Linked DNA regions of Oryctolagus cuniculus. The protein of the gene in region 1 binds, or shares a complex with, the protein of each later gene. Links are inferred from orthologs where the notes say so. Each region holds a gene or a part of one and is shown on either strand. Other genes may lie near its edges.

Evidence for each region.
Region 2: the proteins of BMP2 (region 1) and NOG are in contact, whole or in part, in a crystal structure (PDB 7AG0), measured with the Homo sapiens proteins. The link is inferred for Oryctolagus cuniculus from reciprocal best matches to the Homo sapiens genes BMP2 and NOG. Residues at the interface, in NP_001191.1 of Homo sapiens: Trp310, Asp312, Trp313, Val315, Ala316, Pro317, Pro318, Gly319, Tyr320, Ala368, Ile369, Ser370, Met371, Leu372, Tyr373, Lys379, Val380, Val381, Leu382, Lys383, Asn384, Tyr385, Gln386, Met388; in NP_005441.1 of Homo sapiens: Ile33, Arg34, Pro35, Ala36, Pro37, Ser38, Asp39, Asn40, Pro42, Leu43, Val44, Asp45, Leu46, Ile47, His49, His199, Arg204, Arg206, Pro219, Ile220, Gln221, Tyr222, Pro223.
Region 3: the proteins of BMP2 (region 1) and BMPR1A are in contact, whole or in part, in a crystal structure (PDB 2QJ9), measured with the Homo sapiens proteins. The link is inferred for Oryctolagus cuniculus from reciprocal best matches to the Homo sapiens genes BMP2 and BMPR1A. Residues at the interface, in NP_001191.1 of Homo sapiens: Lys297, Pro330, Phe331, Pro332, Leu333, Ala334, Asp335, His336, Ser339, Asn341, Ile344, Val345, Leu348, Asn350, Ser351, Val352, Asn353, Ser354; in NP_001393490.1 of Homo sapiens: His66, Cys67, Pro68, Asp69, Ile77, Thr78, Asn79, Phe83, Ile85, Cys100, Met101, Lys102, Glu104, Gly105, Phe108, Gln109, Asp112, Arg120, Ile122.

The regions. Positions count from the first base shown.
Region 1 is NC_091442.1:31,667,714-31,672,894, forward strand, and holds the start of BMP2 (bone morphogenetic protein 2 precursor), read left to right. Parts: upstream 1-1,784; 5' UTR 1,785-1,846; intron 1,847-3,023; 5' UTR 3,024-3,030; coding exon 3,031-3,373; intron 3,374-5,181. UniProt on the Homo sapiens protein: Growth factor of the TGF-beta superfamily that plays essential roles in many developmental processes, including cardiogenesis, neurogenesis, and osteogenesis. Induces cartilage and bone formation.
Region 2 is NC_091448.1:32,238,045-32,242,837, forward strand, and holds NOG (noggin), read left to right. Parts: upstream 1-1,996; 5' UTR 1,997-2,672; coding exon 2,673-3,371; 3' UTR 3,372-4,064; downstream 4,065-4,793. UniProt on the Homo sapiens protein: Inhibitor of bone morphogenetic proteins (BMP) signaling which is required for growth and patterning of the neural tube and somite. Essential for cartilage morphogenesis and joint formation.
Region 3 is NC_091446.1:78,229,861-78,234,339, reverse strand, and holds part of BMPR1A (bone morphogenetic protein receptor type-1A), read right to left. Parts: intron 3,719-4,479; coding exon 3,543-3,718; intron 2,659-3,542; coding exon 2,528-2,658; intron 2,448-2,527; coding exon 2,322-2,447; 3' UTR 1-2,321. UniProt on the Homo sapiens protein: On ligand binding, forms a receptor complex consisting of two type II and two type I transmembrane serine/threonine kinases.

The DNA.
Region 1 (5,181 bases):
CAAGTCACACCCGCAGACCCGGGTTTAAAGGGACGTGTGACTTGGTTGGAAGCACACGCGTGTATTAGGTATGTTTTCATGAACACACATGCGCGCACACGCGTTTGAGTGCAAATGCATACCCAAATTTATGTAACTGTAAATGCGCACACATGGATTTCCATCTGCAGCTACATAGATGTCTCTGTGTTAAATATCGGCCAGTTTCCAGCTTCCCCTCGCCGGGGAAATACAGAAGCGTCTACCACACCACGTCTGCACCAAGATGCTCTGTAACTTCCCTGAGCTCTTTTCTGAAAAACTTCAAACTGAAACCTGAATAACGGGCCCGGTGGAGACACCGAGGCCAGAACCTGCCGTCGCCCCGCATCTCAGCCCCGGAGAACACGCGAGGGTCGGGTACAAGGGTGACATCTCCGGCCCTAGGGCAGGGGGGTGGAAGCGCCAGCGCCCCCCTCGGCGGCCGCGCGCCCCCGCCCTTGGCCCCACCCCGCTGCGGCTGCCCCCGGCGCGCCGTCCACACCCCTGAGCGCCGCTCCCGCCCGCTCGGGGATCCCCGGCGAGCAGTGCCGCCGAGGGGGAGGTGTTCGGCCGGGGCCGGGAGGGAGCCAGCAGGCGGCGTCCCCTTTAAAAGCCGCGAGCGCCGCGCCACGGCGCCGCCGCCGCCGCCGTCGCCGCCGGAGTCCTCGCCCCGCCGCGCTGCGCCCGGCTCGCGCTGCGCCCGCCGCTCCGGTTCCCACACCCCGCCGGGGATTGGCAGCCGCCGCCGGACATCAGCCGCCGCCGGCGACCCGAGCGCCCTCGAGGCGAGCGCCGCGCGGATTACTGGGCGCTGCGAGGCACCCGCGCACCGCAGACCCCTCGCGGGTTGGAGCACCCGGCCGTTGCGCGCCACAGCTCGGTGGCCTCGGCTGCCCGGGCCGCGCCGGAGCCGCGGACGGGCGCGCGGAGCGCCGGAGAGTGCGGAGCCAAGCCCGAGCGCCGCGATGCCGAGCACCTCCTGCCGGGGATCGGGGGCTCGAGACGTGCCAGCCGAGGTGTGATCGGACCCCAAGCCGGCCACAAAGGGCACTTGGCCCGAGGGCTAGGACAGCAGCGAGGGCAGAGCGCGGCCACCCGCTTCGGCGGCCCGGGACTCGGCTGGGCTCGCGGAGAATGCGCCCGAGGACGACGGGGCGCCGGAGCCGCGGCTGTTTCCACTGGCCAGCGCTGATGGGGGTGCGCTGGCGGCAGGCAGAGTGATGCGGGGGGGCAGCTCGCCGGGCATCGAGATCGCCGCTGTGCCCTTCCCCGGACCCGGCGTCGCCCAGGATGGCTGCCCCGAGCCATGGGCCGCGGCGGAGCTAGCGCTGAGCGCCCGACCCTCGCCCCCCGGAGTCCCGCAGGCGGCCCCGCGCGCGGCCACGCGTCCCGCGGGCGCTGGTGCCTGAGGACGACGACAGCAGCAGCCTTTCCTCTCTGCCTTCCCTTCCCTTCCCCGGCCCGCACTCCTCCCCCTGCTCGCTGTTGTTGTGTGTCAGCACTTGGCTGGAGACTTCTTGAACTTGCAGCCTTAACTTGCGCTGCTCCCCGCTTCGCGCCGGTGCCCGCGCCCCGGCGGAGCCGCCTCGCTGCCTCCGAGCCCCGCCGCGCTGCAGCCCTCTGCCGGGCCGAGCCCGGGACGCCGCGCCCTGCGCGAGGAGAGGGACTCGGCGGCCGGCGCCGGGAGGAGAAGCCGGAGGCCACGGGAAGGGAGCGGACGCCCGGTCCCCGCGCCAGGTCCCTGGGCCAGAGCTTTTTCCATGTGGAGGCTCTTTCAATGGACGTGTCCCCGCGGGCTTCTTAGACGGACTGCGGTCTCCTAAAGGTACGGGACGCGCGGGCCCCGGGGTGCGGGGCGGGCGCTGGGCTCGCGCGGCGGCGGCGGCGGCGGCGGACCCCCCTCCGGGGCGCGGCCGGGCAGGACGTAAACAGACCCCTCTCCGGGGCCACGTGCAGCCCAGCCCGGCGGGGGCGCCCCCTTTCCCCGCGCCCGCACGCTTCCGCCCCTCCTCCGCTCTTCCTCGATATATTATTAAGGCTGTTAACACTTAGATGATTTTTTTAAAAAATTAAAAAGTCAAAGAGCTGCCTTGGAGAGGATGGCCCCTGGGTTTCACCCGTTAGCTGCCAACCTGTACGCCGTGGCACGGCGCTGTCTTCATCAAGATTCTGGGGGAGACCCGCGCTCTCCATCAGAGCCCCGTCCCCCGTAGGAAAGCGCTGGGCGTTAGGGGTTCTCTCCGCCGGTTGCTAGAAGCGCTAGAGGGCCAGGGTCCCGCTCGCGCCGTGGGTTTCCCCGCTGGCACGTGCGCGCGTGGAGATCGGCCCTTTATGTAACGCCGGGAAGGTACCTGCGTACGCGACCGCACCGGGGGCTCGCGGGCGGGCGTGGAGCGGGGCGTCCCGACACCCAGCGGGCAGCCACCGCCAAGCGGCTTCAGAAGTCGTGGCCCTGAGTTTGCAGGGTCTGGAAGTGGTGAACTGTGGCTCAGGAAGTTCCGTGCCCCGGTTCTCAGGAAGTCACATGCGCGCGCGTTTATAGGCAAGGGAGCGCTCTGAGTTTGGCTAGGCGCGGCAGGGTGTCAGATCAAGCGGTGATCCCCCAGACTCCCTGCATGGCTGCCAGCTCTGGTGTGTGTGTGTGTGTGTGTGTGTGTGTGTGTGTGTGTGTGTGTGTATGGGAGGGGGGAGTGACAACCACTTAAGTTCAGTGGGGAGGGAGCGAGGGATAAGGCCAACCCCCAAATCAAGTATCAGACGGGCCCAGGCTGGGGTGGGAGAGAGAAAAGTGCTCTGGGTCAGGAACTTGGGGCCCTCCATTCCCCCACCCCACCCCAAACGTTAGAGCTGTGGCCGCTCTGACATAGCCAGCAAGTGCTGCAAGGCAGGAGGGCGCCCTGGAGGAGGAGGCGAGCGAGCGCAGCGGGAGCCCAGGCCGCGGGGGCGGGAAGGGAGAGGACTGGGCGGGGAACTCGGGTGACTCACGTCGGCCCTGTCCGCAGGTCGACCATGGTGGCCGGGACCCGCTGTCTTCTAGCGTTGCTGCTTCCCCAGGTCCTCCTGGGCGGCGCGGCCGGCCTCATCCCCGAGCTGGGCCGCAGGAAGTTCGCGGCGTCATCGGGCCGCCCCTCGCCCCAGCCCTCGGACGACATCCTGAGCGAGTTCGAGTTGCGGTTGCTCAGCATGTTCGGTCTGAAGCAGAGACCCACCCCTAGCAGGGACGCCGTGGTGCCCCCCTACATGCTGGACTTGTACCGCCGGCACTCCGGCCAGCCTGGCGCGCCCGCCCCGGACCACCGGCTGGAGAGGGCAGCCAGCCGCGCCAACACGGTGCGCAGCTTCCACCACGAAGGTAAGGCGAGGCGCGCGCCGCAGGGGCAGAGACGCGGGCGGGTTGCTACCCGCAACGCCGAGCACCAAGGCCGGCTGCGGGCATCCCTGGAGAGGCAGTTCAGCCAGAGCTCTGCGGATGCTGTCCCTCTTGCTTCCGTACCGACCTTTCTGAATCTGATTTTCAGGCACTGCTCGTGTGGCGGGCCAGCCAGGGATTCCCCCTTGGTCGGTCCGTACCCGTTTCCTGGCACGCAGCCAGGAGGGCGACTCCTCCTCCAGGAACCAGAGCGGAATCAAGGGATGGGGAAGACGAGGCTAAAAGGCATGCCCCTGGTCAGCTAAGCGTGCAGGAATTCCGCAGTGGGAGAAGGAGGAGGTTTGGGATTTCTTGAAGTCTGTTTGGAAGCCCTTGCTCCATAAATCTGTGTCTCCAGCTTAAGCCAGGGTTTCAAGCTAGACTGAGGCAAGGGCGGAATTCTCAGATAGTCTTGAAAAATCAAAGCCCAGGGCCCCCAAGTCTTCCTAATTTACAGTGGATCTGGGCCTGCGTTGGAAGATTTCGAATCCCTATCTAATCCCCGTGGGAGATCAATTCCACAATCAATCTTATTGTTTCCACAATGACTTTCTTGTCTCGTGCTTAAATCTGAGATAGGCTCAGAGTAGAGACAAAGCAAGCCTTCAGATAAAACCTTTTGCAGCAGCTGCCTGTCTTCCTTCACATGCATTGAAATGTGATTTTTTTTTTCTTTTATGATCCTGGATGTGGTTTTCCTAAGGTAGGATATTTCTGCTGGTTTCATCAGGAAGGCATTTAGTGGATTTGAAATGTCTTAGGGCAGCTATGGAGCTCTGTTGCACCTAACTTCTTAGCACCGTTAGTCAACTACATGCTACATTTCCATTCTTTTGTTCTTTTAAATGTGCCTTTGGCTTAATAGCTCTAAATACAGAATGCATTCCTGCGAATTCTAGAAAAGAGTGGAGTTACAGATCACAGAACAGCCACTTGCACTGACTGATGTTCCCTTTTCCTTGACGAAAACAATTTTCTCTCAGTGGGACGTTTTCAAGAACGATGGGTGATAATGAGAAGAAGTCCCAAAGGCAGGTCCCATCACACAAGCTACTTCTCATCCCAGCTGTCACAGTGAAGGGAGCTGGGAGCTGGTAGCACGTGTTCCAGCACATTTTGAAGTAAAGTGTTTTCTGAAGATCTGAGGATCAACATCTTTTTCTATCTGTTGAGAATTCAGCCACTGACAGCAGAAGTTTGTTGTTACAGGAGAAAGGTTTTCCTTCCTGTGTCTTCTGTCATGGTAACCATGAGATGACTACAGGTTCATCGCTTCCAGTTGACACAGATTAGAATAGTATTTCTGGATAAAAAGGGAATAGGAGTTAGCTGGATAGGTCTCCTCTTAACGTTCATTTTTAAGGCTAGGAAGGTATGGTGTCTTTCTCATAACTTTGAGAGGAAGATTATTTAAAAATCAAAAGCACCTGAGACTTTGACATGTGTAACTGTTTCAGCAATGAAGTGTGCCTGTGTCTTTTTCTAGAAATGGCTTGATCAAGACCTAAGCAGGCTACCCAGAATATAGTAAGTTATTTTTGGCCTTAACAGCCGGGGCTGGGTTGATCCGAAGCCAAGAGCCAGGAGCTTCTTCTGGGTCTCCCACATGTGTGCAGGGGCCCCAGGACTTGAGCCATCCTCCACTGCTTTTCCAGGCACACCAGTGAGGAGTTAGATTGGAATTGGAGCAGCTGGGACTCGAACCGGCACCCATATCACATGCTGGTGCTGCAGGCTGGGGCTTTAATCTG
Region 2 (4,793 bases), on another chromosome or scaffold:
GCTGGGCCAAAACTGTTCAGGAACATTTCATCTCCACAAGAAAACAACACCTGGACCACGCCCCCACGCGGCACATCAGAAAGCGCCCAGTACGACTGTATGTCAGGTTGCCAATCAGGCGTTATATCAGAATCAGCCCAACTCGAGGAACCAGTAAGCTGCGCCTGTCTCCAGGATTCTCCAAAGCAAGAGTTCCTGTGGTGGGCAGGACCCTGGGAAGGGAATTCTAGTGGCGGCCTGGCTAGGTAGGGTTGAGGGGGACACTTTGGCCGCACCGCCCAATTGCTATACTGGCCAACTAAGTGCTTTCCTCCCTTGGCAGGTGATAAGCTCCTTTTGGGGGTATGAGGATGGAGGGGAGGGGCAGGTTGAAAGGAAGAGTCAGCTCTTTGGGGGAGAGGAGGTGGAGTGACACTGGCTGCCACTGTGGGACCCCCTGCTTCCCGCTCCAGGGACTTCTGGTGAACGCGCGGATCATCCACTCCAAGCTCCTTTTCTCCAGCTTTTTCCACGCTCCAGTCGCCACAAAGCAAACTGGGTTCGGGAGAGAAGCTTAGATTCAATTCCTCATCCCGGGAAAGTTAACTGGAGGGGTCGGGCCAGTGCCCAGTGATCGCTCGAGAGAAACAGCTCCTGAAAGAGAGGGCATCGCGCGCAGGTTTATTTAAGAATCGCAGGAAGGTAAGGCTGGAAGAGGAAGAGAGCTAGGGCACGACAGCGGAAACGAAGGCACAGAGTCCACCAAGGAGGAGGTCGCGGGAGGCAGAAGGTGCGGCACTTGTTCTTGGGAAAGTTGAAGGGATTGGGAGGGAGCCGCTGGGTCTTTTGCTTCCACTGAGGTCCCGGAGAGCTTCGAGAAAACAGCCAGAAGCAGAGCCGGGCCCTTCAGCACACGCAGACGCGCACAAAATGACCCGGGCACAGCAGGGGAAACTGAGCCAGGCAGAGTGGGCTGCAGCCCGGAGCCCACCAGCGCCAGTTGCAGGGCTTGCAGCGGGCCAGCAGAGGGCGCGCCGCCCCCAGGGAGCCGAGCGGCGGCAGCGCGGAGCCGGGCGGGCGAGGGGAGCCGCCGGCGAGCCGGACGCGCCCCTGCGGCTGGGCCACTCAGGGTGCAGGACCCGGCCAAGGAGGAGGAGGAAGAGGAGGGTGAGGAGCGAACCCCCATCGTGGGCCCGGGGGTCAGACGGGCAGGAGTGCTTCCTGGGAATTACATCACGCTGCGCAACGCTGCGGCTCTCGGACTCTCGGGCGCAGTGTGGAGGGAGGGGGCGGGGAGGGGGACCCTGTGCGCGCGTGTATTGGGGGAGGGGACCCAGCCCGAGCCCTGGAGAGAAGCAGGCGAGACGCGCCCGGGGAAAACGCTCCGTGCACATGGAGAAATTTCTTGCTCCGAACTGCACGGAGAATCGAGCTGCCGGCACCTCTCCGCTGCTCCCTTCCCAGTGCAAAGCACCCAGCTAGTAAGGAGCAAGCCCCCTGCCCCAGCTCCACCGCGAGCACCCCCAAGAACCGGCCCTGCACCCTCCAAGCCGGCTCCAGCGCCTCAGCGAGCTTTCCCCGGGACTGGCCCTGGCGGGGCGCCTAGAGCCCCAGTTGCATTGCTCCAGAAGAAAGGAGGGGGGCGGTGCATTTTGCAGGAGGAGGAGAAGGGGGGTGGGTGGTGGGGGAGAGAGAAAATTGCGCGGAGACCTGCCAAGCGCCACCGCCGCCGCCGCCGCCGCCGCCGCCGCCGCCACCGCCGCCGCCGCTGCCGCCGCCGCCGCCGCCGCCGCCGCCTGGGAGCTCCGGCGGGCAGCCGGGCTGTCGGCTTCCCGGGGCATCTGGGTCCGGCGGGGCACAGCCCTGGGCGCTGCCGAAGCCGCCGCCGCCGCCTCCGCGGCGAGTGCAGGCGGCTACCCCCCGAGCCTGTGCCGCTCCGGCTCCTCGGGGGTGGAGGGGTGGGGGGTGGGGTTGTTGTTTGGGGGGAAGGAGGGGGAGGGGGCAACGCCGAGAGAGTCAGTGGTTTCCATGGTGATGGAGCTGAAAGTGCAGGAAATTTAAAGGCTTGGACCCTGCGAGACAGACAAACCGGTGCCAACGTGCGCGGACGCCGCCGCCGCCGCCGCCGCTGGAGTCCGCCGGGCAGAGCCGGCCGCGGAGCCACGAGCAGGCGGAGGGAAGTGCCCCAGGAGCCGCTCGGCCCGCGGCGCTGCGCACAGCGGCCCGGCGAGGAGCAGCGAGAGGAGCGAGAGGAGCAGCAGGAGCAGCAGGAGCAGGAGCAGGAGCAGCAGGAGCAGCGGCAGGAGGAGGAGGAGGAGGAGGAGGAGGGGAGAGCGGCTCGTCCACGCGCCCTGCGCCGCCGCCGGCCCGGCCAGGCAGCCAGGAGCCGGCGCCCCCCGAGCCCCGCGGCCGCCCTGGAGTCCTTTCGGATGCCCCGCCGCGGCCGGCGTCCCGAGTAGAGCGCGGAGAGGAGTTGCGGCCAACTTGCGTGCCTGTTCTCCGCCCCGGCGGGAGCCGGCGCTGCGCGAAGAGCTCTCTCTCCCCGCGGCTCATGCTGCCCGCCCTGCGCCTGCCCAGCCTCGGGTGAGCCGCCTCCGGAGAGACGGGGGAGCGCGGCGGCGGCGCCGCGGGCTCGGCGTGCTCTCCTCCGGGGACGCGGGACGAAGCAGCGGCCCCGGGCGCGCGCCGGAGGCATGGAGCGCTGCCCCAGCCTGGGGGTCACCCTCTACGCCCTGGTGGTGGTCCTGGGGCTGCGGGCGGCACCGGCCGGCGGCCAGCACTACCTCCACATCCGCCCGGCTCCCAGCGACAACCTGCCCCTGGTGGACCTCATCGAGCACCCGGACCCTATCTTTGACCCCAAGGAGAAGGATCTGAACGAGACGCTGCTACGCTCGCTGCTCGGGGGCCACTACGACCCGGGCTTCATGGCCACCTCGCCCCCCGAGGACCGGCCCGGCGCGGGCGGCGGGACGACGGGGGGCGCCGAGGACCTGGCCGAGCTGGACCAGCTGCTGCGGCAGCGGCCGTCGGGGGCCATGCCGAGCGAGATCAAAGGGCTGGAGTTCTCCGAGGGCTTGGCCCAGGGCAAGAAGCAGCGGCTCAGCAAGAAGCTGCGGAGGAAGTTACAGATGTGGCTGTGGTCGCAGACCTTCTGCCCTGTGCTGTACGCCTGGAACGACCTGGGCAGCCGCTTCTGGCCGCGCTACGTGAAGGTGGGCAGCTGCTTCAGCAAGCGCTCGTGCTCCGTGCCGGAGGGCATGGTGTGCAAACCTTCCAAGTCGGTGCACCTCACCGTGCTGCGGTGGCGCTGTCAGCGGCGCGCGGGCCAGCGCTGCGGCTGGATCCCCATCCAGTACCCCATCATCTCCGAGTGCAAGTGCTCGTGCTAGAACTCGGGGGCCCCCTGCCCCGCACCGGGACACTTGGTCGAGAGCCCCGCCGACGCCCCCCTACGCCGCCCCCAACCAGTTCCACCACCCTCTAGTGAGGGGTTTTTCAATGAACTTTTTTTTTTTTTTTTTTTTTTTTTTTGGCTACAGAGACCTAGCTTTCTGGTTCATGTAATGCACTGTTTAACTGTGTAGGAATGTATATGTGTGTATATACGGTCCCAGTTTTAATTTACTTATTAAAAGGTCAGTATTATACGTTAAAAGTTACCGGCTTCTACTGTATTTTTAAAAAAAAGTTAAGCAAAAGGAAAAAAAAAGAACAGAGAAAAGAGACTTATTCTGGTTGTTGCTGACAATGTTAACCTGCTATTTATATTCCAGTGCCCTTCGCATGGCGAAGCAGGGGGGAAAAGTTATTTTTTTTTCTTAAAGTACAAAGAGAGGGGAGAACTTTTGTAGAAGGACTTTTTAAAAGCTATTTTCCATTCTTCGGAAAGTGTGTTGGTTTTCCTTGGACCTCGGAGAAGCTATAGAGTTCAATGTTATTTTACAGTTATTGTAAATATAGAGAACAAATGGAATGACTAATCATTGTAAATTAAGAGTATCTGCTATTTATTCTTTATAATATCCCGTGTAGTAAATGAGAAAGAAGTGCAGAGCAGGATTAAAGAAAACCACTAAAACCGACTGCGCTCCGCACTGCGATTCTCTGTGTTGGTGATTGATGGGGGTGCGGGCGGGCGGGGGCGGGAGGGAGCTGCCGCGGTGCCCACCGCGCCGGTTGGGAGAAGGGGTGCATCCCCTCCCCTGGTTACGACGGAGGTGACGGCTGAGTGTTTCAATGGGGGGGGGCGCCTTATTCTCAAACCCCTCTTAAATATCACGTGGCCTCCGCCCTGTCTCCCAGCTTTTTTCCCCTATGTCACCAAAGCTCAGGGCCGTAGCGACCTCGACACCCAGCCGGCCCCCTGGAGCTGACCCCAGGCTGGGCCGCGGGGCGGGGGGAGGGTGGGCGGCCGCTTTGTCCTGCCTGACAGGCCCTTCACAATGGGGACACGTGTCTTTCACACCTACCCTGGGGGCGGAGTGCCGCTGAAACTTGACCCCCGAGGAATGGGGGGGAGGAGGGAGATCAGAGCGCGCCCACCCAGATCCCGCCACCCCTCCCGCCGCCCCCCCCCATACACACACCTCAATATCCAGCCCATGTTAACTCTTTGCACACCCGGAAGCTACAGTGGTTGGAGCTCAGAGGATTTCTGAAATCCACAACATCCACAGCCTCCGGGATTCTGCAGGTCTGAGCCCCCCGGAATTCCGGGGCCCTCGGGCCGGAGTTATGGGGGCGGGGAGGAATAACCGGGGAGATTTGACACTCAACGTCCTCCTCCCCCTGGGACCTAAGCAGGAACCTGA
Region 3 (4,479 bases), on another chromosome or scaffold:
TGTTCATATCCAGGTCCTTTAGGCTTTTGCTTTTCTGTTTATGATATTTAAAAGGTATGGCTGGCTGAAGCCAGACATTTATGAATGCTGAATTCTAAACTTTCAGGGTCTCATCAATTATCAACAGTGGTACCACACACACAGGGCTTCCCCTTACTGGCTGACAGAGTAATTGCTTCACTTAGTAGCTAAACTTCAAATTTAAGAGTAAGAGTGAGAAGGAGAGCAGAAAATGGTTAAGTTTCATGCAACTTTTTTTTTTTTTTTAGATTTCAGGATTCCAAATCTGGCAGCATTTGCTTTTTAAAGAAGATCGTATCCTAGGAAATGTTTTTGTTGAACAAGTTTTTTCGGGTTAATTCTCAGTATCACTGTCACCAGTCCACACTAATCAAAAACATTATCATTGTGACCTCATACACTGCAATTTTTTGCTTCACATACCATTTTAGCATTTCTAAGAATGAAATTTGCCTTTCGGTATAAATTTCCTATACTAAGATGACCAAAATTTTTAGTTTATCAAGTCATACACAAACCAAGGTTAACCAAGGTTAACCAGGGCTCAAAAACGTCACGTGGCAATCTCGATGAAAATATATTTCTGGATATATAGATGGGGAAACATTCTGAAAAGGCAAAAAGGCAAGTTATTTGGTACTGCCAATATGCAAATTTACTTATCTTAATAAACACTTCCGATTTTGATTATGTGAGATGCAACTTACTAAACAATCCAGACGGATAAGGCAAGCTTCAAATTTGTGTAGACACCCACATGTGCGTTTTAGCTTCCAACGACACGGAAGGACACGTGCTGTGATTTGCCCGCGTTTACTTTAAGCCTTTCTGACCGTGTGTGATATCCCCGCGTGGATGCTATGTCGATCTCACGGGATGCACCCATGAGCTGTGTGTTCTGAGCAGGAGGTGGCTATCTGGAGGTGTTACGCGGTAGCAAGCTGCAGGACCTGCACCGTTCCTGGAGGCGGGAAAGCATCTAGGAAACTGGCACCACTTTACTGAGTGACAGGCGCACTGCGTGCTCACGGGTGCTGACCAGGTGCTGAGCCTCTCCCGACTCTCCAGTGTCTGCACACGGCAGGGCGCAGAAACCGCAAACCATCTGGTTGTCTACAACACGCTTAATTAACAGCTGCGCATGGATTTCCATCAGCTCTGAGACAACATTTCTAATCAAGAGACTCCTCTCATAAAGGAACATTGCAATCTTAGTGGACACATTTTTGCCCAGGGCTGACAGGGCCCGGCATGGGGAGCCCTGCCGTGGCCGCGATCATTCTGAACACTCCCCCATAGTCCCGCTCTCCCCAGTGTCTCCCCTGGGGGGTGGGCTGAGGGCCCCGTGAGCTGGCTGCTAATACACGGACACATGTGACCCCCGCAGGCTGTCAGGGAGCAGGGGTTTTGCAAGTAAAGCACATTATACACAAAATATAAATAACTTCCCTTTTAAAAGTCACTGAGAACGAGGAACACAGAAGGCAGTCAGCGGCACTGGCACTGCGGGCCAACGCACAGCAGGTGCTTTCCAGGTGACGCAGCTTATGGCACTGGAGGCTCCAGCTCTGGGGAGGGTGCTCTTCCCAACAAAATACCCCCCCCAAAAAAAAGGGTGGTGGCAGGAAAACAGTCCAGATTCATGGGCACTTTAGACTTCTTTTGGCCTTGACACTGACTTTGACATTAAGAAGAAACACGGGTAGGGGAGCTCTCCAGCCCGCAAGGCTTTTAAAGAAGGGGACTCTCGGTCAGAAATTGCATTTTTAAAGCACAAACCAGCAGCCACCAGCACCTTCCTGTGCACTCGTCCGTCATTGTCTTCCAGCTCCCAGGGCAGCCGAGGGCGGCTGGCGGGTGACGGAGGCAGGCCAGGCGCCCCCTCGGGGCCACTCTGCAAAGGCAAGCGGAGCGCACAGATGGAACGTCCTCGGGTAGAAGGCAAGCGTGTGCTTCTCCACCTCTGCTGAACTCTATCTTCCGGAGGCTTTCACAGAAAGCACCACCTGCTGACCAGGCAGCTCAGCACCCAGAGTCTGACTGGAGCCCTACTCATCAGGACTGAAGTCTATGCAGTTCATAGAAACCCAATAAAAAAAGGCATCAAATACCACATTTAAAACACAGCTGTTCGTATAGAAACCAAGTGTCTACGAGTTCCCGGCTTCTAGGATACGGGAGGGTCTGACGCTAGCAGCCTGGGAAGGTGCAGTGAGGGCGGGCGTGAGCCAGGTTCGAGTCCTCCTCCCATGCTGGCCCCGGCGAGCCCAGGGGCAGGGGCGGCGCCTGCAGCGCGTAGCTCAGATCTTTACATCCTGCGACTCCACCATCTTGGCCAGCGTCTTCTTGATCCGCAGCGCCGTGAGTCTGGAGGCTGGATTGTGGGCCCAGCACTCTGACATCAGCTTCAGCACGGCCCGCAGGCACTGGAAGCAAAGAAGAAATGGTGAGCAGAGAGGGCGGTGGGCGCCAAAGCCCGCCCCCTCTGCGGGGAGCCGGCACTCACCTCGTCGCTGTTCCAGCGGTTGGACACAATCGGCCGCAGCCGCTTGACGCACACGACCTCGCGCATGTCCTCGTAGGATGGGTCGCTGGGCACCATGTTGTAGTACGGCAGCTGGTACTCTTCCACGATCCCTGCAGGCAGAGGGACACCGTGGCCACACTGCGCAGCCAACCTGCAGAGCTACAGGGCCACACAGCTCCTACCCAAGGAAGACAGCTAGGGCCTGGGGGTCCACTTCGAACGGTGAGTGCACGGGCTTCTCTTATTCATGCCCATTATTTCCTCCCCTCCAGCCAGCACCCCAGAACTGTGACAGCCCATCAGGAAACGCCAGTATTCCGTGGGTGGGGGGCAAGGCGAACCCTTGCACTTACTCTACACCATACACAGGACCACCGACTAGCAGGCTGTTCCTACCAATGAAATGCGTGTCTAGCCCTCTGGCTGACTTTGTCCCACAGTGGAGAGACATGAGCTGCAGACCAGAGTTCAGACAACAGCAGGCCTGACGCCGGGCTTCTCACTGAAGCCTGCTTGCAAGGCCGCCCTGGGCTGGTGCCTAGGAGCCTGCAGGCAAGACGACGCCCTGCGTGCACACAGAACTCTCCCTGTGGTAAAGGCACGGCTGCTCCTGGACGGTACGCACTCGACACCTGCTTTCCCTCTGGGAGCCGGGGGTTTGGGAGTGGCCAGGAGGAGGATGCCCACACCACCAGCTTTGCTGTGAGTGCCCTGTGTGACAGTGCATGACAGACGTCATCACGGTCCACAGTGGGAGGGGCTCGGCATCCTGACTCTGCCCCCGGCCCTTTCCTTGTCCGAGTTAGACTTGTGGCTCTCACCGTACATCTCAGCCGTGAGAATGACTACGTGCCGAGTCCTAGAGCCATCACGGCATCTGGGGGGCGCTCCTGGGGACTCTGACAGACGTGACATCTAAATTACCCCACAGCAGCTGCTGTTTCTTCAACGATGGGCAAACCAGTAGGACCAGGCAGGCCGCCCCACCGCCTACCTCCCGTGACGCAGCGGCGGGCCATCTCCCAGATGATGAGGCCGAAGCTGTAGATGTCCGCCATGATGTAGGGCTGGAAGTGGTTTTTGTTCAGGCTCTCGTCCAGCACCTCGGGAGCCATGTAGCGCTTGGTGCCCACCCTGGTGTTCAGGGGCACATCCACTTCATTCGTGTCACTGAAACAAGATGGTATCCAGGGTGAGTGCCACCAACGAAGAGCCTAGCTTGTGTTTTCACGACATTTTACACCAGTGTCTCCCCCTTTCTCTCTCTCATATCCTAAAAGCTTTGTAACTCTGATGTTTAAACAGCTGGCACCATCCAGCAGTCGTGGAGAAAGGGCGTCTTTCTCTGCTCTGTTCACAGGAGGGGTAGCTGACGCCTGCTTTGTGAGGGGACAACAGGCCACAGGTCGGAATTTCACATACTCCTTCTCCAGGAATCCATTGGGAACAAATACTTGTACAAGTGCTCAAGGCCATATTGTATTCTATGGATAAAACATAGTAATGTTCGCTAAAACTTTTTTAATAACAGGGATAAACTGAAGGTAACAGTAACATCCAACAGTTGGGTCACGGAAAACTACATCTGTTAAGTAGCAGCAGGGGGTCAGTGCTGTGGCACAGCAGGTTAAAGACCTGGCCTGTAGCACCAGCATCCCATATGGGTGCCAGCTGCTCCACTTCTGATCCAGCTCTCTGCTATGGCCTGGGAGAACAGTGGAAGATGGCCCAAGTCCTTGGGCCCCTGCACCCATGTGGGAGACCCAGAGGAAGCTCCTAGCTCCTGGCTTCAAACAGGCTCAGTTCCAGCCACTGCAGCCATTTGGGGGGTGAACCAGCTGATGGAAGATCTCTCTCTCTCTCTCTAATAAATAAAATAAATCTTAAAATTAAAAAAAAAGAATGAGGCAGATCTACACAAACACCCTTCT